Linked DNA regions of Drosophila melanogaster. The protein of the gene in region 1 interacts with the protein of each later gene in a pairwise test. Each region holds a gene or a part of one and is shown on either strand. Other genes may lie near its edges. The genes, in order: RalGPS, Arpc3B, CG9902 and CG31121.

Region 1 (7,632 bases):
CCGTATATCCATTATAGTCCGTGGTGGGCTTTCTGCTTAACTGAAATAACGTAAAATCTTTAATATCGAACTACAATCGAGTGGGAAGAAGGTATAGATAGCCACCTCTGAGTAGCGCAGATTATCCGTGGACAGGTCGCGTGAGATTTCCGAGTATCGCATCATGGCAGCCAACTCCGGCTGTCGTTGCACTTCGACAAGCTCTTCAAAACTGTAATGGACAAGACTCAAGTTAACTTCGTGATTAAGTTTTGGCTCTCGGTGTTCCGCACACTGGGCAGACTTTTTGTTGACTGAAACCGAGTTTGTTTTCCTCAGTTCTGCATTGTGGCTTTTGTGTTGCACGAACATTCGTAACAGAAAACAACAAAAGAAATTAAAAACAAAAAAGTATAGGAAAAAACTGGTGGCAAGCCGAAACGAAGCTTCTGGCACGCTTCGCTGCTCGATTTCCAATGGAGCGGGCCATGTGAGTCACGAGCGGTGCGAGGAAACCATTCCATGCTCTTTTATGGTAGCTCTCAAGTGGTCAAATGGCTTTTCGGGGGTGCAAGCCGCTGATAAAAAGTCACGGGCTGCAGCGGTCAGCGGAAAGTTTGGTTGGAAAACAAGTCACCCGTTTAGAAACCAAATTGGTTTTCAGCCCAGTTCAATGAACCCGTCGACCAAGGCATAGAAAATTAAAATTTAAATAAGCCATTCGTTTCCGGCATTTTTCTCATTTCCACAAAAACACAAAACAAAATGCAGTCGCTTAAGTGCGAAATATACAATCAAGAAATGACACAATATGTACATATGTACATATACGTTTACGTAATTAAAGGAGAAACATATTTATTTGAAATAATGAAATGAAAACAAAAGTAACCACTTACATTACGGATCATTATCGGCATGTACAACCTTCTAGAAACCACTATTCATTTATTTCCCATCATTGCACCAACCACAATACACATATGTATTTAAAATTCCTCTAAGACTGACTGTTTTGACCCCGTCTGATTAATTTCAATTAAGATATAATCATTTGAAAGCAAAAGCTGATCAAAAGCAATGACGTCCACACTTTGTCATTGGTATATCTGGGCTTCTGCCTGCGGTTTCCTTCGATTATTTTGCGCTTTTCCGTTTGAGCAAATTGAATTATCCGACTCTGAAATAACAGCGCAAATATCTCGAGACTAGTGTGGGCGAAATCCAAAAGATACATTCCCAAGACGGATGCAAATAAAATCGGTTGGGGAACGATATTGTTTTTATGCTGTTCTTATCTATTATGAATTCCATTCTAAATCGTTTCAAACTCATTGTGCTCAGTTGGGATTTAATCTACATACATATATATCTCTATTGCAGCAAAAGAATTAAAAAAATACAGTCCTATATATTTTAGATTTGTAGTATACAGATGAATTGAAAACAAATTGGGCGGAAAGGCAACAAAAACAGAAACAAGATGTAGACAAGACACCAGGCGTATGCGAATTATATTTCAAAATGCCAGACGACTGCCTCAAGATTTTGAACAAATGGACTTTATTGACTATTTGAACTATTCCATATACACATCACTTCTCTCCTTATTGAATTCATATATATGGCCATACATACATATACATATGTATCTGTATCTGCGCCAATCTGTGCCATTTTTCTTCTGGACTTCCCTTCGGCTGGTCGGCGTTTTAATGGAGATATCATCCAATGCAATTAAAGCCCAACGATTTACTTGCCTCATCTGAGGGCTCGTAAAGTTCCACCCACTGGATACAATTTAATCCATAGCATTTGTAAATAATTCCTGCCAGACAGCGCGCTCCTTTAATGCGAATTTGTAAACTTTTGATGGGCGAATGAATACTGATTGTTTTTTTTTTCGTGGTCAGGGATATGGCGAAATATGTACATATGTATGCCTGCTTGGAGGCAAAAACATCGCCCACTATATCGATACTCCCACAGAAAATTCAGTGTGTTTATTGCTTTTACACAAATTTCTTAAAAGAAAACAAATAACGCAGCTGTAGAATTCAAGGAAATCACATTTGCCTATGGGCGATTTCGATTCTTGGTTTTTTGTTTATCAGACTAGCAATTGTATTTAAATAAAATACAATAGCATATACTGACGAGCACATTTCTACATAATCTTGAGGAAACTCGGTGAGATTTCTCGTTTCTTTTTTTTCTCTTGTGTTGGCATTTTCCATTGATAAATTCTTCAACTTGTGGGTAGCACTGGAATTCGCTATGATGACAAGTGATGACTGACCATCAAGGGAATTTGCAGTTCAACCCATTCGCTGACTCGCACTGACCTCCAGCTCTAGAAGAGGGGGGTTAAAGATCTCTGGAGCAGCTTTCTTTGCCGTTCAAAAGCGGGGTGGCGAAATGCATATTTACAGAAGCGACCGTTTCGCAAGGTCAACGGCAAGCGAGTGGCTGTCGCCCGGTGATATTCGCGATTGAAATATTCAACTGACAGGTTCAATAACCGCCTCGAAAGATTGCGATTAAAACTGAATACTTAGCCTCTATTACGATCAGCCTTCGACTTGGGTTTTCTACACGAGTGGGAAAACATTTAGCTAATCTCCCATTGAAAAGCGAGGGGCGTTATCAGACAGTCGTCTAACTATTTGCTTACACATGCATGCCAGAATAAATACATGTAATTACGCTGGTTAACAACAAAGAGAGAAACTACAAATGGAAAGGTGCCAAAGCAGCAGCAAGGCAAGAAAGCCTGCTTTCGAGGATCGAAGGCGGAGTACCCTAAACACATCTTTATTTATGAGATAAAATTGGCACAATTCTATATATTATGTTATACTGATCCCATTCAGAGCCAATTTGTAAGAGAACTTTTAGCCCACTTTTGATCTTTGCAACTTTTGTCCTATACCATCCTTAAACACAACATACTCCCACATAAACAAGACGTAAATTGTTATTTATGGCAGGCCAGTGATATAGTCATCCGTTTCCGGTTCTTCCGAATTTGTATACAAAATGAAAAACGGAATTTGGGTTCTGTGCATATTTTTTCTAAACAGATGGCATTTCGATTTGAAGATCTGTTTTCGCGGAAAAACAGGTAGATACATGATTTTTGGCCAGGTAGATATGTAAGTAGTTTCAAATGCAAGATACGACTTCTAAGATTTCACCGTTGCAGCATAACGTTGCCAACTTATGCGTGCAATTATAATACCCACTTGTAGGGTAGTAGCTTGAACAAAAACAATGCCAAGGAAGGCCAAGCAATCGAGCTGGGGTTTCTTCTTTCATCTCCTATTCTCGTGTTTTGTATTTGTTTCATGAGCTGCTTATACATGTACATACATACATATGTACATGCGATCTATGGCACATGTGAGCCACCAAAGTGGGTCACTTGGTGAGCATCCAGCCAGTCGCGGAGCAGCGAGCCTAGAACTGAGCCACTTACCCAATTTCTGCGTCGAGTGGCTGTACTTAAGTCCAAGGAATAAGCATGAACAAAAGGCAATTGGAAACGGGCGAGAAACCTTGAAATGCAGCATTTCAGCATCTTGGCAACGCATTCAAAAACATCTGTCGCACATATCCTGTTGGACGAGTCCGGGCAAAACAGATGCACCGAAAGAAAATTGCATGCAGTTTGAATATTTAGTAAATACTTCGTACTTGATATGAATTTGGACTGGGGAATGTAATGTTAATAATTCGACGGTTTTTTTTACAGTAGTATACTACAGAATATACACTACATTTCCAAGAAGAGCAAAGTTGCAATTAGTACTTGCATGTAATACGAGTACATTTGGATTTTTGAACGGCAGACCACAAAGTTAATGATGAATATCACATTTTGCAGTGTTTCCATGCTTTATTTATTTGGGATACGAATGGAGCACATCGTTTTTTGCGGTGCTTATCAACAGCAGCTGGCTCTTAAAAATCCAGAGGCGTTGCCTGCGACTGCGAGTATCTTCTTATCAAGCCGCTTATCACCTGATCTAACGCCGAAAGGAAGTGGCAAGTGGGTTTCGCTGGCCGCCGCCACCCGATGATTCACATTTCGAGACATTTACGAGTATGTTCGAATATAATCAATGTTTGTTTCGCGGAGGAAATAAATCGATAGAATTGAACGCGAAAAGCGGAAAACGGGAAGCCGAACATAAACACGGATACACAGGCAGCCACTCTCACGCAATTTGCTGTCGTTTGGGGTTCTAAGCTCATTGTATGCAAAGTGTGGCGCCCACTCACCAACCAACCACCCACCACCCACTTGGGCGTAGTTTCGTAATCAGTCCCCGACAAACTACAAAAAAAAATGGCACAACGCATTGCACTTGCCACTTGGATCTTGGAGCATTTGGGGCGACAAATGGACGAAGATAGCGACGCCCAAATCCGAAATAGCAATGCATATTGTTATTTATAGGCTTTCGCCGCCCCACCTATGTAACCCGCACTTTCAACTCACTTCGAGCTCCAGCTGCTGGTGCATTTTATATCAAATAATCGATGTACATGCGATGACAGCCACTGCGTCGCGCTTTTTTAATTACTATTCACCACGCTTATTGGCTTCACCTTTCGTTCGTTTGTTTTAAAACTCGAGAACAACGAAAATTCAGCAGCGAATTAGCCGAAAACGATCCGCGCGCGACGCCGACGCCAACGTACAGTGTGACCGTGTGGCTTTTGGCTTGAAATACCACTCACGAAAATGTACTAATATAAGTCGAACGGTAAAATATGCTTCTTAAATATATTTTTTAAAGTCATTATAATTTAATCAGATTCCATTCCATATTTTTATGTATCTCAGTGTATGACTTAGATATTCATTATTAAAACTGTTTTTCAAATAATTTCTTTAAATATTAATTTTAAAATTTGTTTTGTATGTTCTTGTTATAGCAAGTTATAATTGAAATTTATTAGTACATTTTGGTTGGGAACCTGGATAACAATGTAGCATTGACTCGAGCCGTATGGCCAAAAAACTCAGTCTTGATAATTTTTTTAAATTCTTTTTTGAAACTTGTTAGCATTGATAAAAGTTTAATGCGAAATTTGATTATAATGTCCCTTTAAAGCTTCGATCTTAAATTCCAAAAATGTACATATGTATGTAGCCCATGATCCAAAATACCGACCCTTTGCCAAACAATGAAAGTCCTTAACTTTTATAAAAAATATATATGTATTTAATTTCTTTACTTACATCGGAAGTAGCTTTATCATTTCATTCCTTTTTTTGGGTTATTTTTCGCACTTGCATTTAGATCAACAGGGACTTACGACTACGAGGAATTGAGCAGGCTGAATGGATGGGCGAAAGACAGCAAGAAGTGGGATAGAATGGGCACGAATAGATGCGGAAGGATGAGGGGCATAGGTAGGGGACATAGTTCTAGAAGGACTTAACACTAGGTATTGCTATATGTTCGGGGAATCTAGCTAAATGTGTCTGTGAGTCGTTCCTAGTACCGATAACCGCTGCCATCGTTGTCACCGTTCTGACCACCGGGTCCGAATCCATTCCGGCCACCCTGACCCGGCCTGCCGCTCGAGTATCCTTGGCCATCCTGACTATCCTGGCCGTTGCCGCCTGGCCGACCACCAGGACGACCGCTGGAGTAGCCATCACGTCCAAGATCCTGACCACCGGGACGTCCGCCGGAGTAGCCCTGATCACCGCCATCCTGGCCGCCTATCACACGTCCACCGATGATCACACGACCGCCATCGGATCCACCGTTGCCATTGCCGCCTGGCCTACCATTGGAGTAGCCGCTGGCACCGAGGTCCTGTCCACCTGGACGTCCACCGGAGTAGCCGTCTCGACCCAAGTCCTGACCTCCAGGGCGACCACCGGAGTAACCGCCTGGTCCCAAGTCTTGGCCGCCCGGCTTGCCATTGGAGTAGCCACCGGCGCCTAGATCCTGACCTCCTGGACGACCACCGGAATATCCACTAGGTCCCAAATCCTGGCCTCCTGGACGTCCACCGGAGTAACCGCCATTTCCGTTGCCATTTCCATTGCCGGGACGTCCACTGGAGTAGCCATCGGCACCAAGATTCTGACCGCCAGGACCTCCAGGACCGCTGGGACCACTGCCATCGTTGGCATCGCCTTCGTAGCGGATCTGTGGCCGGTAGCCCTGCTGGTCGGCTTCATACTCCACAATCTAAGAAAGACAAAGAGAAAAGAGAACGAGATAACAATGTTAGCCGTGACAGAAGGATGAGGTGGTGGAGCAGTGGGTGGATCCACATCGCCTTCTGCTGCCCGCCATCGCTGCCGCCGCCGCTTACTTGCTTCCTTCCGTCGGGCAACAGGACATTGTACTGGCCGGTGGTGAAGTCACCGTCGCGCATCTCTGAATGCCCGAACGAGAGTCCGCTGGGCGCGTCCTCAACCTGGTAATTAAATTCGTACTTGGCGGGCTCCTAAACGCCGTACAACGGATCATGGAGCATGGAGCATGGATCATGGACAGCGGATCATGGAGAATGGAGAACGGATTGGGGCGTGTGGAGAAAGAGAGAAACACAGAGAGATAGAGTGTCTGGGATCAAGAATTCAGTTTTCTATGGGGATGCAAGCTTTAAACGCCGATGGCTGTGCAGGTGAGCGATAACGAGTCTACCAAAGATTTGCAAGGGCAAGTGTGCAGCGGTGTGGGCGGTGGAGCGGTGTTCCCTTGTGGTCAATTCCACCCAGTGATCCCCGTATACAAATCCCATTTTACCATATACCCTATTTGCTAAGCTATCTCAAACACTTACATCGTTATCGTAGTCAGCGCCGCCGGGTCCACTGCCTCCAGCGCCACCTGCTCCCGATCCAGAAGCTGGGGGTCCGTAGGAGTCGGAGGGTCGGCCACCAGGTCCTGAGCCTGGAGCTCCATAGCTGCTCGAAGGACGTCCGCCGTTGCCATTGCCGCTACCAGGGGCGCCATATGAATCTGATGGTTTTTGGTTCTGACCAGGAGCACCATAGGAGTCCGATGGACGACCACCAAATCCACCTTGGCCCTGACCAGGAGCTCCATAGCTGCTTGAAGGACGACCACCGCTGCCGTTTCCGTTACCGCCACCAGGAGCGCCATAGGTGTCAGATGGACGACCACCGTTTCCACCACCAGGAGCGCCGTAGCTGCTTGAGGGACGACCGCCATTATTGCCGCCACCAGGAGCGCCGTAAGTATCCGAAGGACGACCACCGTTTCCACCACCGGGAGCACCGTAGGTATCCGAAGGACGACCGCCGTTTCCACCGCCAGGAGCACCATAGCTGCTCGATGAGCGACCGCCATTTCCGTTGCCTTGTCCTTGACCAGGAGCTCCATAGCTGCTTGAAGGTCGTCCGCCGTTGCCATTTCCACCACCACCAGGAGCACCATAAGTGTCCGATGGGCGTCCACCATTTCCGCCACCAGGAGCACCGTAGGTATCCGAAGGACGACCACCGTTTCCACCGCCAGGAGCGCCATAGCTGCTCGATGGACGACCTCCGTTGCCATTTCCACCACCAGGAGCTCCATAGGTATCTGAGGGCTTGCCTGCATATCCACCTTGTCCTTGTCCCTGTCCTTGACCCTGGCCTGGAGCGCCATAGCT
Region 2 (6,613 bases), on another chromosome or scaffold:
CAATATACAGATATACTATGTAGCACAAACGGTCTGTAGGCTTTTCGGCAGGATTTGTTTTATTTATTTTACAAACAAGTATTATAACTTAAAGCAAATCGTTATTAAAGTTATAATTGAATTTTAAAGTCATATTAGGTTTATAAGTATTTAATGTTGCTCATATAGCCAGCTTCTCCACTATATATATTAACTGACTAACAAAGAAATCAATATTTAAATATAGTATGGAACTGAAACGGAAGAAACCGTGCTGATGAAGTGCAATCAAATCCGTGGCGAGGTTACCCACTAGCTGGGAGTTCACAGTGGTTGCATCGCAATGTGGCAGCCACGCCCAAAAAAAGGAAAAGGCAACAAAAGAAACGCGCAACCGAACTTTCGCAACTGGTCGCCCGCTTTAACCTATCCACGGACCCGTCGGTTAACCCTCGCCAGCCGCAGACACCACAAGTGACCCACTCACTCGAGAATCGAGAATGGGGAATGGAGAATCCCTCTCTTTTCGCCTGTCTGAGCTGCTTTTTATGGAAACCGGCTAACTTCCATTTGACTTGGAAGTCGGGCCAAGAGCCAGAGCCTCGTCTTCTTGTCATCATTTCTGTGCCTTTGCTTTTCTCTTCCTTCTTTCTCTGCACGGCAAAAAATACATACATTTTTTCCCACATATCGCCAGTTAGCGGACCAAAAATGCATTGCTGATCCATTAACATATTGCCATTCCTGAGCCCAACTGGTTTTTTGTTGGCTGTCTTTAAGGTGTGATAAAAAATCTCGTATATTGTTGGATTTCCATATTTCAGCCTAAAATGTTACAATTCTGATGGCCAGGTTTAAAGTGACCAAATGCCGGCCAAATAATCTTATCTTTTTTGTCTCCATTTTAAGATTGCCTTAATATTGTTTATCTTAATCTTTAAATAAGGGTGAAATAATTTAGGGTTACAAGTGCAAGGAACTTTCTATTATCTATTGAGATAATTTTAATAATAAAAGAAAATTATGATATTGGGGATTACGCTTTTTTTTACTTAGTTAATAGGTTCTCTCTCGTGGATTCTGGAAAGTTATTTACTTGTACACCTAGGGATCCTATTAGCTTTTTGCCCCGAGGTGGGAACTCTAATGTTATCAAGACATATTTTCCAAGTTGATTCTGAAGCAAATATTTCCAATCAGAAGAAATCATATAAAAATATATACATTTTGTATACCAATTCGCTTTACTGTACATTTTCTTAGTAAGTTATTTTTCTCAGTGCACTGCATTTTACTTCGACTGTCAAGGGCGTTTTCTTCTCTATTTGGAAATGAACAGTTACTTTTGGGACGACTTTAATATTGTTACATTTACTATATATGAAGAGCATAACTTACCTTACAACTTCCGTTGTCAACTGTTGCTGTTTGTTGTTGTTGTTGTTGGACTGCTTGGAAGTGTCACAGTTCTCGTCGAATTTGCATTCAATAATAACAAAAATAATGATCACAAGAAACAAAAAGCCGCGCAAGCAAACAAACAAACACACACACGCACGCACGAGGGCACACTAGTGCGCGAAACGAGTTTATTTGCTGCACACAACAGCAACAACAACAACAAAGGCGAAAAGGAAACCGCAAGCAGCCAAGGATAAAATGCGATTAGCAATTAAATTCCACCGCATCGTCGGGTGCTCGATTTTCTCTCAGTGCTGAATGGAAGGCAGCGAACGAGCCAGTGAACGCAAAAAAAAACAAAACAAAACACGGCGAAAAAGGTAAATAAACGCACGAAACGCCGACGAAGGGACTATTTACAAACTCTCATCGCTTTTGAACGGAATTCAGCAACGCAACAACAGCAACTACTCAAGAGGACAGTGTGACCAGCGCGGTAAGAGTTATAAATATCGCAAGGCATAAAATAATACCATGTACCATATACTAATTTGTTCAGCGAAAATACTACTGCTGTGCCGCTATAGGAATTTAATATACTTTATTTGATCTCAATCTCGATCTCAATCAAACCATACTAATAGTTCTATCGATATTAGTGTTCCTAGTATTTTGTATTTACATACAGCTTACATTCGCCCTACCTGGCTTATGAACGACCTCGATCTTACTATCTATCTACAATGCTATGGTAAGGTTTACACCGTTTTTCCAATATTTCAATCTCGCTGGTTCCAATAAACTCTTAAAAGGTAACTGCGTTAGTTGATAATCATCTACATCAATTTAATTTTTAACGGTCACTTTCAAACACTCTACTTTCCTTGTATATTTATTTGTACATGGGCCGCGATATTTAGGTTCGAATTTTTTATTAACTCCAGGTGTTGTATCAATATTTCGTAGAGCTTCAAAATCTCGAAATTTATATTCCAAAAGGGCTTTATTTTTCTTCGCATTATATTGCTCAATATTATGTTGTGAGTGATGGATATTAACATTAGCATTTAAACTAACAGTATCTAGGTCTGTTTGCTCTAAATTAAACGTGTGCTCAATATATTCTGGCAATTCGTCAACTATATGGCCTTTTTGGCTAACACCAAATAATTGAATACTATGTGATTCTTTAATACTACTATGAATAGTAATGTTAATGGCAAACTCTAATTTATTTAAGAAGTTACGGCGTTGCGCAGTTGAACTATAGTCGCGTCTTCACCAAAATAAACTTTTTTTGATTTTAATATGTCAATTATATCGGGTTTTGATTTTTTAAGAATAGCACTATATTCCAATGTATTACTGCTTTATTATTGTTGTCTTGGTCTGTAACAATCTTTTTAAGTATTTTTATTCACGATGTTTCTCTTTAAAACAATTGATTTAAGCTCTTCGATCTCGATCACACCATCGTTTGTTCTTCAGACTATACAATTAGTTCTATCGATATTATGTTATCGATCGATTATATTTTACCTAGTATTTTATATTTATACACAATTTACAAACTTCTTATCTATAAACAATCAACTGTGTCGACCATCGAATAATGTTTTTAATAGACGTAATTTGTATTTTCAAAGTGAACTGGAACATGTGAAATAGTTTGAGTGTTAACCCAAATGTGTCTGGGCACACTGCTTTCGCCTTTGTAACTTACCGCCAAAGTTGAAGCTTTTCATTGTCGCGCGAAAAGTTGGAAACGTTCAATTAATTATTTTTTAATAAAAAAGCTATATTATATTATATTATATATATTGTATATTAATATATATATTATATATATTCGATTGGGGACCTTATTACAGTTGTTATGTTCATTTCTTTCCTATTTTTTATCTATATCTTTCCCATTTTTAATTAGCAAGCGCAACAAGTTCTAACCGAAAGAGCCAAGTCCTGTTAACTCCATTTCTGCATTGATATCAATTTCATATGCAACAGAACTAAAATAAAACGACGAAAACTGAGACGTACTTGCACATTTATGTGGGAAAATGTCAGCTTAAATGATTAAAATAATATCTTTAGAAATGTATATTTTCAAAAAATACCAAATAAACTCGGAACGAACCAGTTCATTTTAACGCCAATGGGTCGTTTATTCAACTTCAAAAAGATAACGTTTTCACATCACTAGGAAGTTCTGATATATCATATATTACTATATTTTTCGTTTATTTTTAACTTTTGAAAAACAAGACAGAAGTCATTGAAATGCCGGTGAGTAAAATACAACCGAGGTATGCAGCTGCAGATGGGCAGTTTCTTAACATAAATGTACATTAAACGCATTAAACCCTTAACCTGTCCATTTGTTTACATGGTTCGCACAGGCATTTCACTCGGAAATAGAGGATTTCCAAGCCTCGGTGGGGAATATGGCCCTTCTACCACTACGTACCCAAGTCCGAGGACCAGCGCCCACTGTTGATATTCCCAACGACATCATCGATGAGTCACTCTACTTCTGGAAATCGAACATTTTCTTCCGCACTTACGAAGTTAAGGTTGGTGACTGGACAAAGAAATGAGCATAGAGATAAAGCGAGGCGATATTCTAATTTTTAAAATGAAGATACATTAAGAAGACGGCACAGCTTGTTAAATATTTCGAAACAATCTTAAAGCCCTAGTGGAGTCAATTTTATAATGTTAAAACCAAGTGCGTTATCTCACCGCCCTTATTTGTAGAAATATGTCGTTACAATCAGCCTGATAAGAGTGAAGTTATTTGTTAAATTTTTAGTAATACCCCTTTCTTATATGGTGTTCCAAGAGTTGGGTATTTCTACATAATGAAATTATTTTTTTGGAGCTTGGAATTTTTTTTTAAAAGTTCAATAATAGCTTATAGCTTATATAGCTTATATTACTATATAGCTTATAGCAATAATAGTCTTATCAATTATGATATCATTCTTAGAATATTGTTGCTATGTTTAAACTTTTAAAATTACTTTTTAAAAAACCCCTATTACCCATACATTGTATATCTAATCGCAGTCGGAGGTGGACAGGGTGCTCATCTACATAACGCTCTACATCACGGAATGTTTGAAGCGATTGGCCCGATGCACAAGCAAATCGCAGGGTCAGCAGGAGCTCTATACGCTGGCCATCTCGCGGTTCGATATACCCGGAGATGCGGGATTTCCGCTGAACGGAATATACACCAAGCCCGAGGATCCGGAGCTGATGCGTCAGTACTTCCTGCAGTTGCGCCAGGAAACCGGAAACAGATTGCTGGAAAAGGTCTTTGATACTCCGGATGGAAAGCCGAGCAAGTGGTGGATATGCTTTGCCAAGAAGAAGTTCATGGAGAAGAGTCTTTCGGGACCGGGAATGTAAAAGACTCACTAATATACTGCCGATCTTAGAGTATTTACCACCAAAATTTACGAATAAACTGCTTTGAATGTATTAAATTCGTTGTTGATTTATGTTTATTGATTTATACGCTCTCAAAAGCGCATATTTTTCACTTTGTAAAAGAACTTAGTGTTAAACATTGTTGGCTGAAGGCTAGTTAATACTTTATACATATATATTTATAAAATCGATGAATAGCATTTATTACATACATATGGCTTTAACGATCATTTGCAGGCTCTCACACAATCAAAGCCCTATTGCTATGGTAATCAATTATTAAAATGGGTTATAGCTGCAGATCATGTTTTTCCTTTATGCCTCCTTTCGTTTTTGTGCCAAATAAACATTTTTTTTATACATACAAACAAAAAAAAAATATGCACAGCTTAAAACTATCAACAAAATAATAATAAAAAAAAGAGTGGAAAAATACACAAATTAATCTTACATCAGAACAGGACAACGCATTCACATAGTTCCGCGGAATGACAGCATTATTTATGTACAAAATATACTTGCTAGCTCTCTAAGCCTACTTAAACTCCTTGACGATCTCCACGATGCTCTGGTAGGTGCCAGTGACGATGCCCAGCACGGCCACCGTCAGGATGAGAATGTTTTTGATGTAGGACCACACACCCAGTGCCTTGGGCACCTGCGCCCGCGTCACGAAGTCGATCAGCACCGGAATCACAAAAGCCAGACAGGTGGAGCACAGTGCTCCGATCAGCGAGATGAACAGATTGAGCTTGGGAACGACCAGCGCAACGCCAACTGGAAAAGCACATATAGAAATATATTCCGAATAGCGTAAAAGCTATAGCTATGATCATTTAAAACGGATATTACTACATTATCATTGATATTGATCAATATAGTGATTCCATTTCCAATTGTATATATATATATTTTTTTAATTTACAACCCACTTACATGTCATCATCACCATAAAGAAACGGAGGCACACCTGCGAGGTAATGGGATACTTTTGAGTGCAGTTATTAGACCTCTTTAGTGGGGGCCACAAAATCTTAATCATCACAAAGAACTGGATGGGGTAGCCCAGGAAAACGCCCAAAGCAGCGATCACTTTCACCACCTGCGAAAAACTGCAATGAAATCAATAATATTAATAACAAAACAGGCGATTCGAAAATAAAATGTAAAAAATCATTACAAGTAATTTCATATTATCTTAACCTGGTGATTCTACTTACACTTCCTCCACTACAAGATTTAGCGTTATGCTGCCGGCTACCTCCTCGCCCCATCGCACATAGCTCACGAATCCGGTGAAGATGAACAGGGCCGTGGTAAAGAACATCGTGGAGTTGAGCACTCCGAACCGGGTGCTAAACTTCTCCGGTCGGCGCATCGAGTTCCGCAGCGGCAGGATGAGGGCGATGCCCTCGTAAGAGAACAGAGCGGTACCAAAGAACAGGGCCAACTGAGCTCCGCCAGTGAAGAGGTGCCTGTCGCCAACGGACGGCATGGGTCCATCCGAGAAGGCTATGGTCAGGGTGGCAATCAAGCCGAAGAGCAGCGCCACATTGGCAAACAGCGACACGGGCGAGATGTACTTCAGGTTGGTCATCAGCGAGGGTATCATCGCCGGTAGCAGGGTGATCAGCATCACCATGCTCATGCTGATAACGATGCCGTTCTGCTGGAGGACCTGGTGCAGATTTTCCGTGATGAAGACAAAGTAGATGGCGCAGAAGCCAAACTGCGTGACGCAGAGGAACATTTCAACGATCAGCTTCATTACGCGCGACATTTTTCGCAGTGGGCGTGG
Region 3 (10,640 bases), on another chromosome or scaffold:
CAAACTAACATTGTTGTGTTTGTGTTCACAGGTGATGTTCGAGAAATATGGCTTCGATTCGGCGTACATTGCCATCCAGGCCGTGCTGACGCTATATGCCCAGGGTCTGATCTCTGGCGTGGTGATCGATTCGGGCGATGGTGTAACGCATATATGTCCCGTCTACGAGGAGTTTGCCCTGCCCCATCTGACGCGACGATTGGACATTGCCGGTCGGGATATCACTCGCTATTTGATTAAGGTTGCTTTGCCTTACAATTACATATAGCCAAACTGTGACTTATACTTTCGCATCTATCTATGATCATTAGTTACTGTTACTACGTGGCTACGCTTTCAATCATTCCGCCGACTTCGAAACGGTTCGCATAATGAAGGAGAAGCTCTGCTACATTGGCTACGACATCGAGATGGAGCAGCGTTTGGCCCTGGAGACGACGGTGCTGGTGGAATCGTACACGCTACCCGACGGTCGTGTTATCAAGGTCGGTGGCGAGAGATTTGAGGCGCCAGAGGCTCTGTTCCAGCCGCATTTGATCAACGTCGAGGGACCGGGCATTGCGGAACTGGCCTTCAACACCATCCAGGCGGCAGACATCGACATACGGCCCGAACTCTACAAGCACATAGTTCTGTCCGGCGGCTCCACCATGTATCCGGGTCTTCCCAGTCGGCTGGAGCGTGAGATCAAACAGCTGTACCTGGAGCGGGTACTCAAGAACGATACGGAAAAGCTGGCGGTAAGTTGTCAAGTAAAGCTAATCAATGCACATCGTGTTTAACAAATTGAACGATTACATTGCAGAAATTCAAAATACGCATTGAGGATCCACCGCGACGCAAGGATATGGTCTTTATCGGCGGAGCTGTTCTGGCGGAGGTGACAAAGGATCGCGACGGCTTCTGGATGTCCAAGCAGGAGTATCAGGAACAGGGTCTCAAAGTATTGCAAAAGCTGCAAAAGATCAGTCACTAGAGGCGGATGGATGCGAAATCAGTGTGTGTGTGTGTGCGGACCGCAAGAAATAGGATAAAAAAGTGATAGATTTCTTTTCTCTATTTTCTATAGGTTTAAACCTTTCAGATTTACGTGATATATCCGTCTATATATGTTTTTTTTTTTGTGTGTGCCTGTGCGAGTGGGCGTGTCTGTTGAGCAGGATTGGTCCACTTGCCCTTAGATTATCTATAATCGCAGACATGTCGTCACTGGTCGTTATCCCCGTACAATATAATGTAATATTTCTTTGAGCGCGAAAACTTTAATTCGATAGTCGCCTAAATTGTGTAACCCTGCATTAGTGTGTTTAATTGTTTATAATTACGTCTAAAATTCAAACCCAAAAGCCCTTTTCTTTAATGAATACGCATATATAACTATATATATATACATATATAAATTCAAAGCACCTCGAGTGCGGCGATATTTTTGTAAACGCAAAATGTTTCATTTCCAGCGAGTATTTCACATTAAGTATTAACTAGGCCAAGTCTGCTAGTAGCAGCTACTAAAATCGTGTGTGTGTTAAGACAGAGACAGAGACAGAGGAAATATAACGAGGAAGTTGCATAGCACAGAAGGAGAAAGCGCGAGTTCGGTCGTTAACTAAATACACTGATTGATTCGATCCCGTCTCGCCTCCCGACACTCGACCTTAAAGTAAGCATTTCTGGATTGTCTCCAACTAGATAAAGATGAAGTTACCTACCCATAAAGATACAGATAATCGAAGTCACAAGATTACGCATTTACGTTGCCCCATAATCGAAAGTACCATCAGTCGAAGTGTTAAATTTGATTTAATTTCCTTACCTGCCTTTTCTAGTTAGTTGCAATTTGATGATTGTTGGGGTCGCAACTATCGGCATATGATGAATAGTATATACATATACATATGTGTGATCCATATACATATATCCGTATATGTAAAATGAATGTGGAATGCCAATTATGTAAGTGAATGCAATAAACGTAATTATGTATGATGTGTACTGTATACTGTAGTCTAAAACTAAATCGCATACGACTTTTTTATGGTTTTTTTTTTGCCAAATTAAAAACAAAACAAAAATGACAACAAGAGAGCATGCTATAGTCGAATTCCCCGACTATCAGATACCCGAAAAGAGTTGTTTGGCAAATGGATAGAAATTTAAGAGACTAATAAAAATATGAAAAAATTCAAAACTTTTTTTTAAAAGTGAGGGCATGCCCGTTTTGGGCGGTTTGTGGGCGCGGCAACATGGGTCAACAAACAGTTCTTGAGATCTCGACTTTCATGCGGACGGACACGTCCAGATTGACTCGGCTATTGGTCCTGATCAAGAATATATATACTTTTATATGGTCGGAAACGCTATTGATCGTGATCAAGAATATATATACTTTTATGTGGTCGGAAACGCTTCCTTCTACTTGTTACATATATATGTAATTACCAACGAATCTCGTATACCCTTCTGGTCTATAGTAAGTGTTTTGTATTCTTGTTTCTTTCAAATAAATTTTTAAATTACTTTTGCCTGCATAATAAAATTTCAGTTGGCAACAATGGCCTTAGCGAATGCACCTTCCACATTTAGCAAATACGCCTAGCCTTACAGTTTAGCGAGTATATGAACCTCGTGTAGACAGCGTTGCCCCTTTCGATTAACATCGATTTACAGTAATCGGGTTCAGCTGTTGTTCGTTGCAACTTTCAAGCTAAATTAAAATAAATCGAAACCGGCAAAAAAAAGGAAATCGACTTGACATAGCATTGCCATGAATTAAGTGCTGCAAAATGGATATAATATTTTCTCAGGATGTGCACGATGAACAAAAGTTTCTGGATTGTGCGAGGAAACTAGAGTACGACGAGTTTTCGGCGGTAAGGACTTGCTTTGTACATAAATCCTTATGCACACGTTTTCATTGCTTAAATCTTGGTTTTATAGAAAATGTTTGTATTCTGCAATAAGCACAGCGCTTTGGATGTGTTTGAGCTAATGGGCGATGACCGGTTGTCGCAGTTACTCTACGGATGGGAGGTGTGCCACCTGCCTACCAGGGATTCCGAGTCGCTAAAGGACCCAGCGCTGCGTCACATGGTCAGGGTTTTGGTCTACCACTCGCTGCTGATGTGGTTTAGCCAAGAGTGGAAGACCTGCTCCGAAGGCCTCAAGCAGCTTTTGCTCTACACCCTCACCAAAGCAATGCCGGCATTCCATCAGATTGGTGAACTGGCCAATATCAACTGGTCGTACGTTCTGCAGTTCCAGACGAAGCCCTGGAGCCTGCCCTACCTGCATCAGCTATTTCTTAACCTGGAGCTGAATAAACAACACGGCATCGAACACAAAGTTCAAGCGGCATCAGGAGAAGGTAAGCCATTACTAATTTTCGTCAAGGATTCATCTAATCATTGCCTTATTTCTTAGATGTTGCTTTCCTCATGCAGGAAGGGGTATCTCTGGCCCTGCTGCGACTAATCCAGCTCTTTAACGCCGGCAACTTTGAGGCTGTAAAACAGCTGGCGCTTCGGATGCTAGCTGCTTGGCTGAAAATCCACGAAAATGCACCATTTGTGTCCTTTAAAGGGGATGAAAACACAATTACACTAATCGGTCATGTATGCCTCTTGGCCGCTTTTGTTAGGGATGATAATCAAGGCTTTGTGATTGATAATTTGGTAAGGAAAACATTCATCATGTAACTAACATAACAAAACTAAATGTCGTCATAAAACCACCTCGTAGATGTACAACATAGGGTTCTATGTCCAGATCATGGAGGAATTTTCGAGCTCACATGATATTAACTTTACGCCAGCTCGGCTTATTGCCCGCGTTTGCGTCCGTCTTCGACTCGGAAAGAATGCGTTTTTTGAGAAAATTGCATTTAGGAAATTCAATCTATGTATGGTCACTTCATTTGCCGTCATACTAGATGCCTACTCCAGCTATGTGCTGGGAAATTTATTGATGGATCTTCAGTCGCTTAACGAGCACGATTTCCTGGAGCACCTGCCACAGTTCAAAAAGCTAATGGATCGCTATGTAGAGGAGCGCGAGAGCAGCGAGCGCTTTCTTCTAAACGAGCTCAAGAAGATGGAACAACAGCGAAACAGCTGCATTGAACCGCATCTAGTAAACCTAATTCTCAACTACAAGCAGCAGATATGCAAGGGAAATCGAGCCAGCAACATAAGCAACTACAAGAACAGTGATGACGACGAAAAGATTCAGCCTGAGGTGGGCGAAGAACAAGATAGACAAGTAGATCCGGTTTTTCAAAATGTACCAAACAATGAGGAAGTTTTGAGCTTTGTGTACAAATTGCTGGCAGAGCGGGTAAGTGATGAGAACTAACAAAAGCGAAAACTTTACTAAGCACCGCGCTTTTTTAATTTAGAATTTTTCAGGCTGGAGATTTGCTAAGATTGCTCTGCTGCTGAAAATTATTGGGCAACAAATAAATGCATTAGAAATGTGGAGATATCATCCCGGGTTAACCGTTGATTTTATGCTCGATTTGGAGCAAAAGATGTCTGCAAACTATGCTGACCTAGCCAAATTGTTCTCTGACCATGGATTTATGGAGGCAGAATTCTGGCTGACTGCTTTCTACCTCCACCCCACATCATCAAATTATAACGAAGTAAAGCGCTGTTCGTGGATCATGAAAAATCGACAGGAGGAGGGCGGGCTCCCTGCTCCAGCGATTGGCAACGTCAAGTACGAACTGCTGAGCTCCACCATCGATGTGCACCAGATTATGACCATAACAAACCATGAAGATCCAGTGTCCGACTACGATCCAATAAACGAGTCGCTGAAGGCGTTGCGTCTACCCAGCAACATGACCAAGGATCTTCTGACCGTGGTCTTCCAACCGCGACATAAACAATACTCATGGGCTCTCGATTGGCAAACGCTAGACGAGCGTTGCAGTGCCCTACTCAAAAGCCAGGACCTGAAGAGAAAATTTGTGTCTCTTAACATGGCCGAATCATGCGACGACTTGAAGTATCTCCAGATCGACTATGCCAAGTACAGGGATCGACCACAGTTGGACTATGGCACCATAGAAGAGGGCTACGAAAATGAGACTAATCTCTCGAATGCAGCTGGAAAGGCTGAATCAACACCAGCAGTGCATGATAAAGCAGAGAAAGCCAAGGAGCTGAAAATGCGGCGACACGCAAAACGCAAATGTTGGTATGAAGGTTAGCAACGAAATCTTTTTTCTTTGAGCAACTTTCATATAAGATTAGATTCAGTCAAACTAATGAATTGAATTTTAAATCCCACAGTTTCGGAAGACGAGGAAGAGGCTGCCTCAAGTGATTCGGAGCCCAGCTACACAGGAAATGGCCGCCGAACACAGATTAGAGCCGCAGCCATTGCATCCAAAGCTAATGGTCGCCGGACTGGGATTAGAGCCGCAGCCATTGCAGCCAATATCAAATTGTCTGAAATGTCCTTTCCAGAGACATCGAATAGGCGCTTTTCTACACAGCCCGTCGTCAAGGAACAGCCAAAAATCGCCGTCCAGCCTAAAAAACAAAAAACAGTATTGTTTTCGAAAGAAGAGGATGAGGTTTCCTCAAGTGATTCGGAGCCCTGTTACACAGGAAATGGCCGCCGGACTCAGATGAGAGCCGCAGCCATTGCAGCCAAGGCCAAATTGTCTGAAATCTCCTCTCCAGAGACATCGAATAAGCACTTTTCTACACGGTCCATCGTCAACGAGCAGCCAAGAATCGCAGTCCAGTCTCGAAAACAAAAAGCAGTAATGTTTTCGAAAGACGGGGATGAGACTTCCTCAAGCGATTCGGAGCACTGCTACACCAGAAATGGCCACCTGAATCGGATTAGAGCCGCAGCCATTGCAGCCAAAGCCAATTTGCCTGAATTGGATCGAAAAGTGAGCGGTGGGCGACGATCGATCTTTCCAGAGGCATCGGGTAATCACTTTGTTACACAGCCCGTCGTCGCGGAGCAGCCAAAAATCGCAGTTCAGCCGCAAAATCAACAAAAGCGTACAATTGCCGAGCTGATGAAGTCACGACCCATGTTTACCAACGAAACGAAAGGATTTAAGCCGATCGCCGACATATGGAGTTTCAGCAAGGAAGAGCTAGAGAATGTGGTTAGCGGGCCCAACGACATGATAGAGTGCAGCTCGATTATAGCCAAAATGAAGTTATTGAAGGACCTCAAAATGGCGAAATCTGCAAAAGCAGCCGGACAGCCATGTTCACAGCTCGTTCGCACAGGATCAGAAACTGAAAGCGTGAATTCCGAAACTTCCACGATGGCTACACACGAATTTAACGAGAAGGGGACCACTGTAGGTTCCCCCGGTGAAGGTAAAGAGCAAAAAACACCTTCGCCGACCGCAAACTCCGAATTAAGCACTGAAACAGAAGTGTTGAAGCCCACCGATGAGACTGAAGCGCATATGATCCATGACGCCCTAAAAACTACAAACGTGCCACAGAAGACTCTGGACTTACAGTTCTTGTCCAAGAAGCACATAAGAACTGGATAACAGACCCAGGAGTCCCCAGGAGATGTCATAGAAACTAGTGATCTCAAACAGGTCCCCCTAAATAGCCTGTTCAAAGTAGAGGGACTGGATGCAAGACAGGCGACAGGAAAGCCAAAAAAAAAGGAACAAACGGAACAGGATCTGCCAAATACTAGAAAACACAAAGATAAGCTTCACATGCAACGCCATTTTTTTTTTTTTTGTTATTTCTTTACTTACATATATACCATAACTACGTAACAATTTATTATACAGCCTCGATGTTAGTAGAGATGTGAAACCGGATAAGGTACTGCCGCAAAGCATTGCTTCGCATTAGGGGCACCAAAGATTTGGAACCTCACGATCTTGGTGCTTTCCGGAAAAGCAAACTGTAGAGCCATGTGAGACTCCGGACATGAACCCGAACTTTCTGGATCTCGATGTCGATTCGAGGACAAGCACCCGATTGCTGAAGTAGCTACCTACGGCGTGCAGCAAGTAACCTGCTACCTAAAAACCAAGTGACCGTGGAGATCGCGTCCAGCGTCGACAATTCTTTCCGGAATCCGTACTGGTTTGTAGAAAGTCCCCATGCAGCCGATATTGCTGTGTTGAGCCTCGCCGCGATCACCTTCTCGAAGGCAGATGGGTCTTTACGAGAAGGGTTCGGCAGGGTGCTTGCCTTGGTTGCCTTCTATGGGATCCGATCGGGTCCTGATTTCTTTCTGGTTTTGAGGCTTCTCGCAGCCGCCAGAATCTTGGGCTACGTGACCGGCCGCAAGTGGTCAGCTTGACACGTCTCCGCTTATCTGCCAAGTGGTAATGGTCTCCTCCAACTTCGCTGCCATTTTATCCGCTGCTGCGTTCGCCCAGTCTGCCTCGTCGATTGTCAGCTAGTGAAGAGAGCCGTCTAACTCCTTCAGTCTCATGGTGTCCTGTCGGTAGGCCGTATGAGGCTGCTTCCTGGCTGTCGAGTGCTCTTGTGCCGATTTCGACCTGGATCTCAACCTCTGATCACCTCTACCTTCCCGCATATGGCTGCTATGCTTGTTCGGTCTAAAACCCACTTGTTACTGGCCTTAGCCTTGTACGGCTCGCAGAGGAGAGCCACCTCTGTCTTTAGATCGCGATCGGTCTAGGTAAGCCACCCAGCATCCAAAGATTCAAATTATGTTTATGGCGAGCACCTCGACATCCGGAGGGGCATTGTTTGCTACCTTTATGCTTCGTGCTCTTCTTGCCTTCAACTTGCCCCCTTATCCATGCAGTTCCGTGTTAGAAGCAGAAACTTTCTTGATCATTAAAAGGACCATAAACACAACAAACATATTAAAAGAGTTTAAAAAGCCCAACGCAAAGTATCGAAGTGCAATTAAAGAAGCTATCCAAAAATGAAAACTGTGATATCCTAAATTCTCCAACATTCCTCTAGATTATAAAGTTAGCTTAGTCTTTCCTAAATTAAAGTCACAAAAACTGCTACAAGACTACAACTTGACTAACAAGAAGATTGCTCTCTCTCCAAAGGGCCACCTCTCTATAATATCATTGAACTTTTCCCGAGCCTTTGACAAAATAGGTATCCGCTTCCTTATACACCAATTAGGTCTCCTTAATTAACCTTTCCTCACCCTTTTGAACAATATAAATCAATGTTGCACTTTCTCAGGTGCGGCTAACTTTCAATAGACAAGTGCAAATAAATACAAATGCAAACCAAGACAAGAGAGAGTGCTTTAGTCGAGTTCCCGACTATCAGATACCTGTTACTCAGCTAGTGGAAATGCGAAAAAGAAATTTCATCATTTTTCTGTGATATGAATAGATTTTAGGTAATTGGGTAATATTAATAGGTGAGTTTTTTCAAAAGTGTGGCCGCTTCAGTTTTGGGCGTTAAAGTGTGTCGTATCAAATCGTTAAAAAATTTACAAGACTAATAAAAATATACAAAAATAACAAAGCATTTTTCAAAACTGTGGCCGTGACAGATGTGGGCGTGGCAACATGGGTCTGGAAGATGCATGCTTAATCTTCAACATTCTTGCTTTTATAGCTCCCAAGATCGAGACGTTCATGCGGCCAGATTGATTCGGCTATTGATCCTGATCAAGAATATATATATATATATATATAATATGGTCGGAAACGCTTCCTTCTGCCTGTTACATAACTTTCAACGGATCTAGTCTACCCTTTTACTCCACGAATAATGGGTATAATAAAAACAGAAACAAACCCAACCAATCTTAAAGCGTTTTATTACCGGGTGACTTCGAAGTTCCCACAGCCAGCCAAGCAATTTATTGCCCCCGATCGAAATGTTATTTTAACAATTCGCCTTCTTTGTGGCCGTAATCAGTAGCAAATTGTTTAGAGCTCATCTAAACAAAGTGCAATATATTGCAATGCGAAATAACAACAAACAAAGGAATTCCCAATATAACTTAGACAAGCAGGTAGCGGATTTGTACAGTCACAGGTTTTAAAAAATAAAACAATTGAAATTTTTGAAAAATGAACTAAATTTGAATTGATAATATTTCAGCATTTTTATAGATTTTATTTATTTTTATTATTTCTGCTCCTTTTCTTCTTTGCTTTAGTTTTTTGTTGACCCATTGTTCGTTCGACTTTCCCATAGATACGCTAAGTTAATATGCTTATCATTGCCCACAACGACGATAAGATGCACTCAATTGAATTAGAAATTCCCACCAAGACCTTTACATTTACAAACCAACCTGATTTATTCATATTATTATTCACACCTCCGGTTCGCACCTGAGCCCGTCCGATAAGAGCAAATCGAACCGTCTGCTCGATGGCCAGATAAAGCCTCTTTGTGATCCACGACCCACTCCAGCACTCGGATTCGTCGGAGTAGTCAGAGTTGTTGGTCAGTTGGTGTAACGACGCAGCATGGGCAATGTGAATAAAAATATCGGACGGCTGCTTGTGGCGGTGGGAGTGCTGATGATTCTGGGATTGCAAGGTGTCCGATCTGAGTATGGCGACCTGGCCGGCAATTGGCTGGTGGATTATGATCGAGACGAGCTGAATTTTTTTGAGGATTCGACTTGGAGCGTGGATTTGCACATATACAATGTGTTACCGAAGGACTCTTCGCTGGATTACTACTTTGTGGTGTACTCCAAGGATGATCGGAGGGCGTCATCGCCACCGCTGGAGATAAAGAAGGAGGATTTCGATCTGTTGGGCAGCTGGCGGGGAGCGCTATATGTGACTGGAGTTCGCTTTGGATACAGTTCACTGGAGGTGGAACTGAAGTCCGGTGCGGTGACGGAGACATATCCAAAACCCCTGCCAATAACAGTGCTCAGAACACAGGTGGTGGACGAACGCATCACCACCTATGTGTCCGCCGCCTTGGCTCTGCTGATGTTTCTCAATCTCGGAACAGTATTGGATATGCAGCGCCTGGCGGGCATCATCTGCCGACCGGTGGGACCTGTGGTGGGTGTGGTCAGTCGATTTGTGCTGATGCCCGCCGTGGGATTCGGACTGGGTCGTGCTCTTTGGCCAGACAGTTGGCCACTCCAGCTGGCCCTGTTCTATACGGCACTTTCGCCCAGTGGCGGACTGGCCAATGTGTGCGCCGTCTTCCTTAAGGGAAATATCAATCTTTCTGTGGCCACCACCACGATCAATAGCCTGCTGGCCCTGGCCTTGCTGCCCATTTGGATATTGGTTCTGGGCCGGATACTCTACGAGGACGATGAGCTAACAGTGCCGTTTGGCCAGCTTTCCGGAGGAGCAGCTGCCCTGGTGGCCTGTCTGGCCATCGGTGTGCTGCTGCGACTCTGCCTTCCGCGGACCACTAGGTTCATCTTTCGCTTCCTGAAGCCACTGTCCGTCGTACTCAGCTTGTGCCTCGTGGGCCTGACGGTGGGTCTCAACTCGTTCGTCTTCTACGAGTTCACCTGGCAGGTGAGTGCCGTTCCCCATTTGATATACAATTCGAAATGGCAACAACTAATTTTGACCTATATGGACCTATAGATTCTTGTAGCTGCCGTATGTCTGCCCCTCGCCGGCTATCTATCCACTTATCTGCTGTCCAAGATCCTTTGCCGATCCTCCACCGACGCACTAACTTTGGCCA
Region 4 (7,779 bases), on another chromosome or scaffold:
GACTCGCACTAACTACTTGCATAACCACACCCGATAGCCCATTTCCGGACCACACATAATCCCCCAAATATATAGGTGCCACAGTATTTTAAAGAGAAATCCTTCCAAGAATAGCATGCTCATCAGAATTCCACACTCCATTTGCGTATATATCTTACTTACGAACCGCTTGACACCCATTAACACTCGCGTACATTCATTCAATCCGTTTCAGATGCGTTCTAATGAATTTCCATGCGTGTATCTAGTTATTTAAATAAAAAGAATATATTGTTAAATTGAAGCGAATTGGCAGCGAAAACCGTATCGAGGACCGGCTGGGGAATGTTTTCAGAAATTCCATTGAACTATTTTATACAATATTCAATGAATTCACTACGAAATTATATTAGTCTTAAGTTTTCTTGTAAATAAAATGATATGTAATTCGTAAACAAAATTGTTTGATATTTTTTGGTACCCTAAAGTAAACTTCGATGCAAAAACAAATGTTTATACTTTTAAATAGATACAATGAGAAGTTTTTATTTTATTAAATTAAAGTTAAATCTAGTGAAAACTTGGAAACATGATATCTGAATCCTTAGTCCTTGAACTTCTGGCGAACACATCTAGGCATTGGGAATAGGTAAACCAGCATGTTAAAGGCGGCCAAGCCCACAGCAAAAGCGCAGGAAGCGGCCACATCGATGGTTTCCTGTAAAATAAATAATATAATAATCCGATAAGCTACCATATTATCATCCCACTTACATCGGGATCCGGCAATCCCAGTCGCTCGTGCATGAAATCCGCGGGTTTGGGACAGATCACGGAGGCGGTGGGAGTACAGTTGAGTTTCCTCGACTGGAAGGCGATGCTGTGCAGCAATGAGGATGCGTAGCGTGTGTGAGTGCCCTTCGTGTTGTCCTGCAGCCAAGGTTGAAGTCCCTTGAAGGAGCTATTGGTACAGACACCTCAAGTAACTCAAACTATAGTATGAACACAGCCTTACTCACCGCACAGTTCCACTAGCCAGTGCAATACTTATGACAAGGACATAGGTCACTGCAATGGCTGCGTTGAAGGGAACCTTGACCACCAAAAGGAACGCGATCGTGAGCTGTTCCGCCAGCACAAAACTGGACCACAGGGCCACTAGCAAGTAGGCGAAGACAGTACCATTGTTGTACTTCACATCCAATAGCAGACTGAAAGAAATAGATATATAGTTTCGAGTCCCGATACCCAGAGAGATGAAACTTACGGATATACAACACAACTGGCTATGACGGCAGATACGGCGGAAAATGGTATAGACACGGAGTTGTAGGCAATCAGTAGAGTTGTGCCCGAATAGAGACCCTCTGGAGTATCCTGCGAGAACTTCTTGCGCCAAATCGGAACTATGGTAAAATATGCTTAGACAGCTTAACATTGAAGGGAAAATCGAAACTTACATAAAGATATGGTAGTCAAAATTCCACAACCGTACGACAGCCCCAAAATATTAAGGATCATGCCGTTTTTTGTAAAGAATCCATGTGAATCGTCCTAGAAAATTATATTAAAAAATGCTTAAAATGTATAAAAAATTAAGTTTCTTACCCCGACATCTGTGTAAAATGCCCATAGGATGCTTAAAGCCAATGGAAGAAGCAAAAGGCGCAGAAATAGTGTCTTCATACCAACGAGTCCACAGGAGAAGGTTGATGCTAATAGTTTCCTAAAAACGAAGTCAAGAATTTTATCATATTTGAAAAAAAAGAAGTAAGTTTAACTTACAGATACAGCATAACCCAAACTTTGAGCTCTCCAGGCTTTCCATAGGCCAGAGGCACTTTCCCAGAACCCATGTTGTTTAGAGGGGCATCCGAGATCGGTGTTTCCCGAGAGAAACGTTCCACCAGCGCCTCGATCTGCTGGCTAGACTCCAGGAATCGATCCCGACTGCGACGATCCACAGTGGACAGGCAGAGATAGTACATCAAGGGATTCTCGAGCTGTGGACAAGGGAATCCGATGCCATGAAAGTACTCCAGCATGGCACGAGTGCCTCCTGAATAGACCACTCCGCCCAGGCAGAGGAATAGGGCTCTATCCAGGAATGGGAACACATCGGAGCGAGGTTTCTCCAGCGACAGAAGAATTCCACAGCCCGTCTTCTTGGCCGTGTTGGACAAAATGGATATCAGCAGATAGGCACTCAAGGGATCGAGGCCATGGGTCGGCTCATCCAGCAATAGCATGACTAAAATAACATTTTTGTTATTTAAGGAATCTTTGTGATATATTCATCATTTTACCAGGATCTCTGACCAACTGTATTCCAATAGCCAGACGCCGTGCCTCACTGATATTAAGATACTCCACTCTCTTATGCGCCACTTGGGAAAGGGCCAAATCCGCCAGCACTTGGCGCACTTTGGAACTCTTCAGATAGCCACTCAACTAAGAAGGGTTTGGGTATTAACACAGTCAGTTATTACTTAAAATCTCTTCATATTCATTATTTTATACAAATACTCACTATAGTGGGGGTATAGTGTAGTGTTTGGGCCACCGTTAGACCAGGAACAAAGGTGCAGGATTGGGTGACATAGCCACATCTCTGTTGGAACAATGCCTTGGAGAGCGGAGATCCATTGAGTAGCACCTGACCACGAGTTGCTCCATCGGCACGTCTAGAAATAACATCTAAAAGAGCTCTCTTGCCGCTACCTAAAGTTGGTAAAATGATTATTATTATTTTGTTTTAACAAAATGTAAATTAAAAATATACCCTTCGAGCCCAGAATGGCCATAACCTCGCCGCTGTGCACGGTTAGATTGACGCCTTTGAGCACCAGGGCCGAATTGCCGGCTCCATTGAAACAGCCACCACCATCCACCTGTTGTTCAGGCCAAAAAGAAAACAATAAAGGTTTAATAGCAGGGGGTTTTCACGAGTCTAAAGAGAACGTACCTCGGTGGTGTGGAAAATGTTGTGGGCTTCCAGTACGTAGTCGCTGCCGATCATTTTCATAGCCACCGCTGGGAGAGCCGCTTTTGTTTGTTTATACTTCTCGTGCTCTTTGGGCCGAAAACACTCTGTTCGTAACTCAAGAGTGGTTTGTTAGGAGCTGATTTTCAGTTCCAGGGAGGGAAGAGAGAATATCAAGAGTGTAAAAGTGAGATTGAGATGTAGAGATACTTGATTATAAATTGGTATTTGGCTAAAACTGAAAACTAAAATTTTACACAATAAACAATTAGGAAAAATCCAACACATATTTTTTCAAAAAACTTTAATACATATTTTATATGATATTTTAGATGCTTTATTAAAATATTCTTCGGTAGTCACTTACCTCCGCGAACACGTCCTCACCAACTGAGCGCTCTGTTCCAACTGAACTGAAACTGTTGCTTGCCATTCCAATTGGCATGGCTTGAACCGCTCCGCTCCGCCTGGAAAGCGGCTCTCTCCGGCCAACTCGCTTCCAGGCGAAGCAAGCGGGCTAAGATGGCGGCCGAGGCCAAGTTCAGATCAGTTCGCTGCGAGCCGAGCTCCGAGAGAGTTGCCTCCACCGATCCGCGGTTCGCGTCGATTCGATTTTTTTCTGGCGGCCCCCTAACACACAGTTCCCAGAAGAAAATTACAAAAAAAAAATATGAAAACACATAAAACGCATTTGGAAATCTAATTGAAATATTCACGGCTTAACGGGCTATAATATACACACATATATCTGTGCAAAGGCGAATATTTTTTAATGACCACCGGGAAGTGCATGCAAATGTGGTTATTTGTTGACTCGCGGAATATCCAATAGATACAAAAAAAAAAAAAAAATAAAAAAAGGAAAAAGTGGCCAATATCCAAGTGACGTGAGTGTGTGTGTGAGCAGTGTCTATATGGTCTATATAAAATATGCAGACATCGGTGTAGCCAGCAGATCGACATTGTAATGTAAGTGTTTTGCCCAAGTTATGAATGAGTGTCACCGAGCGGCTAATTAGAGTCCAACTGGCCAACTGGTATTTACTGTTAATTGTATTAGGCCAACGGCAGCACTTGCCACCTCGAACCAAATGAAACCGACGAGTATCCACCACGGTCCACGTTCCATTCCTTTGGGTATAATACTAATACCTTCTGGTTCTTCTGTTTTTTTGTACTCCCCCCCTCTTCTGTTCTTCTGTTCTGTTCTGTTCTGCTCGCGCGGTCGTCACCATCGCAGGTCAAAGATCCCGCGAGCGGGTTTTGTCTAGCAAATGTATCTTAGCCCACACTCCATCCACCACTGCCACTGCTGGCACTTCTTTGCCGCTCTCCCTGCGCTCAGCGCCCTGCAGAGCCCAAGCGATCCAAAGTGGAAGTCCAACTCGATGCCAAAACCAGAACCCAAGTGCCAGCCAAAGCCGGAGTCGCTCAAACAGCCAAGTGCCTGCTGCTCAACTCAACTCCACTCGGCTCGGTTTGTCTTGTCTTTTATTTTCTCTGCAGCTCACTGCTCCGCTGCACAGGAAAAAAAGCGAGATAATAAATCTAATATACAAGCAATATATCATATTTTAAATATTTATGTTTTGTTTCATCAAATGGCTTCATTTCATGTTTCAGCTAATGGCTATAGCATTAGTATAGTGTAAAAAGATATATCCTTGTTGCAAATTGAATAAAACAAATTTATTTAATTATTTAGTAAACTGTTTCATTCAAAATATTTGATATTTTGTTTTTTAATAGTTCAAATTATATTTCCAACATTTTTATATCACATATCATTATGTAGTATTTCTCGCTGTGTGCCAGTGTGTATCTCACAGATACAAGTTTCAGTTTGTTTGTTTGTTTGGCCGGCTGTCTTTGCCTTTGCCATTGCCTCTTTGCGGAGCTGGGTTCTTAGCTCTCCGGGGATCGCTGGTTGTTTGCTCTACCCGCAGATGCTAGCATCGTCTTGGTCTGGTCATTTCCTCGTAAAAACTGCCTTAAACTTACGATCGAGCACTATAGCCATTATTTGTTTTTATGTTTATACTTTAAGCACATAAATAACTTTTTATGCGCCTTAGAATAGTTTGCATAGCTTATGGGTTCTTTTTTTTTGCAATAACGCAAAAGACTTTGACTTTATATAACCATTCAATTTAATCTACTCATTTCTGTAATAAATGATTGCAATATATGTTTAAAGAAGAATAAAGTTTGTCACGTATTTCGATGACCCGGAGAGCGATGGATTTAATTTCGAACAAGATGTGAAAGCCATAACAGGTCTGAAAGACATTTTTCGCTGGGTAGAGGCAAATACTTTATTCCGGCGTGTACTCTTCCTATATCGGCTCATAAAGAATAACCACGCGGCTAAGCAACTTTCACATTCATTTTGCAATTTCGATGCAGCTGCCAATCTGCGCTCACAATCACTTTCAAAATTTCGTGCCGCGGAACTTGATTTCTCATCGAAAATGAGCTGCGGGCTAATGGAGATTTTGGCGATTGAGATAATTTGGGGCTTTAGCACCATTCTCAGGGCCCCCCCAACTGCAGATTATTGTCAAGCTAATGCCTTTGGCCCTTCGCAATGCAAATTCCCAGCCTCCGTTTCGGGTCCATTTCACTGAATCTCGCACCTAATTAGCCATGTCATGTTGGCCGGACCGTTAGAATGCTGTTAAAGCCATGGCCAAGCTCATTGAAAAAGTTCCAAAATGTATTTTGCTTCTTCGAGCTGACTTGCTGGATTGTTTTTCTAGATTTTCCCATTGTCGTCGCTTTTTGCCGCCGTTTTTTGTGGCGTAAATTAGTTAACAGTATTATTATGACCGCTAACGGGGCTCCCTGATTTGTGGCTGCTGTTCAGGCCCCCCGCAAAAAAGATATCAAGCCATTCCGGGGCAGAGAGAAAAAAAAGCGTTTAGAAGCGGACCGACAGGCAGCGATCGTAATTCAATTTCGACAATTTCAATTCCAGTCCAGAAGAAAACAAATACAGAAACTGAGAAAAAAAAAGGAAAACAAATCAAAAGACTTAAGACAGCAACGCGGAGTCTAGACAAAAAGACCAAGGCGCGGCAAAGAGCCAGCTTAAGTTGAATTGATTGTCAGTTATGGCTTTGTGGTGAGTTCGGATCCGGAGTGGGGTGCTGGTGGTATCTAGCATTGGGTATATGGGATCTGGTCTTTGTCTTGGGTCTAGGCTGGTTTTCTGATCGGTTCTTTATAGGTGTGGCTGCATCTAGTTGGCCAAAACTTGTTCTTGTTCTCTCGGCCTGAGTCCTCCATATGTGTATGTGTTCAATTTCAATTGAACTTAGTCGCTGGTTATTCCGATGGATGGATGGATGAATCATTGCATTTAATGATAGCGGACTCTGGATGAAGTCAGCGGCGGGCCATTGGAATGACGATGATGATGATGATGATGATGAGACGGAGACCCTTGGTCGCTGGCAAAGTGAAAACTCAACGAGCAGGAAATGCAAATTCGAAATTTCCCACTTGCATAGGCAATCTCTCCAGCTGCGGGGCCATTAAAAGTTGCGACCATGAAAATTGTGGGCATTGATAGATACGGTACGGGGCCACAGTGAGTTAATTTACTTTTTATTGTAATTAAATTAACACAGCATAGCTGAAGACGTAAACGAAGAAGAAGCCGCAGAAGCAGAACAGCTGCATAATTAGGCGAAGAAAGTACATTTCAGGCTACACACACTTCGTGACTTTTACGGCCGTAAAAAGAGAACTCCAATTCATTTCGCTCCAAGTTCACAGGCACGGTTCAGACATGCCGCTGACATAGAATCAGAATAGTGGCGGAGTCGGAGTCGCAGATGAGACCTTATTTGATTGGACGTGAGCCGAATAAATTGCTCTTAAAAACCATGTCACATATTTACTTGGCCCCCACATTTTGCACTGGGAAAAATAACTGACACCTAACATTGCTCATTCCCCCCAAGAAGGCTAGTCGTGTAGATTTTGTTTGTATTTCAAACAGCGAAATTAAATGGAATTCTACCAATTTGATGTTGATTTCTGCGCAACTCGAAGATGAGAAATGTTCAATAATAATAAAGTGTGATTATTAAGAAATCTCTTACCACAAAATAGTACACTCTTCGACCAAGCTAAGACATTTTCGTTGAGTGTGGAATTGGCGCCCATAAGACCCAGTTGCTGTGTGTCTTTGGGTCTGTGGGTGTGTTCGGGAATTTGGCCAAATAAGCCCGTCTGTCGCATTTTTATGCATGCAATGGCAACGCAGGGAAAAATTGCCATTTTTCTGTTTTCGTTCGGTTTGCCATGGAATTTATGTCAATTAGCCTGGTGGCACCACACGTGTTTCCGTGGAGGCGGAGGAGTAAATGGGAAGCGGCGGGATCGGCATTGGCATGCAAATTTTTACCCACAATTGTTGGCCACTTTCACAAGTCTTTCGCAATACAGGAAAGTGTTTTGTTTCGACTCGGTTTTAAGTCGTGTTGGGGGGGGAGAGATTTGTTTTGGTTTTCAGCTCGGCGTTAATTGCCTGTAAAGATGCCCGAAACTGTGGCAAAGTTTCGTATTCCGTTTGGGCAATTAATAAAACTGACCTTGCCTGAGTTTTCTAACCGCAAAACTGAAAACTGAACGCTCAACGCTGAAGCGCTGGAAACTGAAAGCCGATCCGAACCGCTGAAATACGCTGAATTGAGACCACCACTGTGGTATTGCCGGTGGTTTCGGTGGTGGGGGCTATGCAGCCATGACGAATATTCGTTGACGGCATGACATTAGCATTAGACTTTTTGGGGTCACAGTCAGCGGAA

What was found.
Region 2: the proteins of RalGPS (region 1) and Arpc3B interact in a two-hybrid assay, tested with the Drosophila melanogaster proteins (one large-scale study listed by BioGRID).
Region 3: the proteins of RalGPS (region 1) and CG9902 interact in a two-hybrid assay, tested with the Drosophila melanogaster proteins (one large-scale study listed by BioGRID).
Region 4: the proteins of RalGPS (region 1) and CG31121 interact in a two-hybrid assay, tested with the Drosophila melanogaster proteins (one large-scale study listed by BioGRID).

Annotation. Positions count from the first base shown.
Region 1 is NT_033778.4:16,780,734-16,788,365, reverse strand, and holds the start of RalGPS (Ral GEF with PH domain and SH3 binding motif), read right to left. Parts: upstream 4,696-7,632; 5' UTR 4,484-4,695; intron 3,597-4,483; 5' UTR 3,458-3,596; intron 1,192-3,457; exon of another isoform or gene 879-1,191; intron 212-878; 5' UTR 166-211; coding exon 106-165; intron 41-105; coding exon 1-40. Other genes in the region: resilin, read right to left, coding at 5,490-6,197, 6,325-6,459, 6,799-7,632.
Region 2 is NC_004354.4:17,102,823-17,109,435, reverse strand, and holds Arpc3B (Actin-related protein 2/3 complex, subunit 3B), read left to right. Parts: upstream 1-3,583; 5' UTR 3,584-3,660; coding exon 3,661-3,666; exon of another isoform or gene 3,667-3,779; coding exon 3,780-3,953; intron 3,954-4,449; coding exon 4,450-4,794; 3' UTR 4,795-4,865; downstream 4,866-6,613. Other genes in the region: CG4991 (uncharacterized protein), read right to left, coding at 5,351-5,592, 5,752-5,927, 6,036-6,613.
Region 3 is NC_004354.4:16,539,578-16,550,217, reverse strand, and holds CG9902 (uncharacterized protein), read left to right. Parts: upstream 1-2,697; 5' UTR 2,698-2,783; coding exon 2,784-2,870; intron 2,871-2,937; coding exon 2,938-3,364; intron 3,365-3,420; coding exon 3,421-3,671; intron 3,672-3,738; coding exon 3,739-4,332; intron 4,333-4,393; coding exon 4,394-5,207; intron 5,208-5,294; coding exon 5,295-6,535; 3' UTR 6,536-8,094; downstream 8,095-10,640. Other genes in the region: Arp2 (Actin-related protein 2), read left to right, coding at 32-241, 312-740, 806-976; CG9903 (uncharacterized protein), read left to right, coding at 9,437-10,465, 10,538-10,640.
Region 4 is NT_033777.3:24,890,337-24,898,115, reverse strand, and holds the start of CG31121 (uncharacterized protein), read left to right. Parts: upstream 1-3,510; 5' UTR 3,511-3,931; intron 3,932-6,280; exon of another isoform or gene 6,281-6,541; intron 6,542-7,779. Other genes in the region: CG11069 (uncharacterized protein), read right to left, coding at 584-697, 754-940, 999-1,190, 1,247-1,385, 1,440-1,533, 1,588-1,705, 1,765-2,230, 2,286-2,430 and 3 more.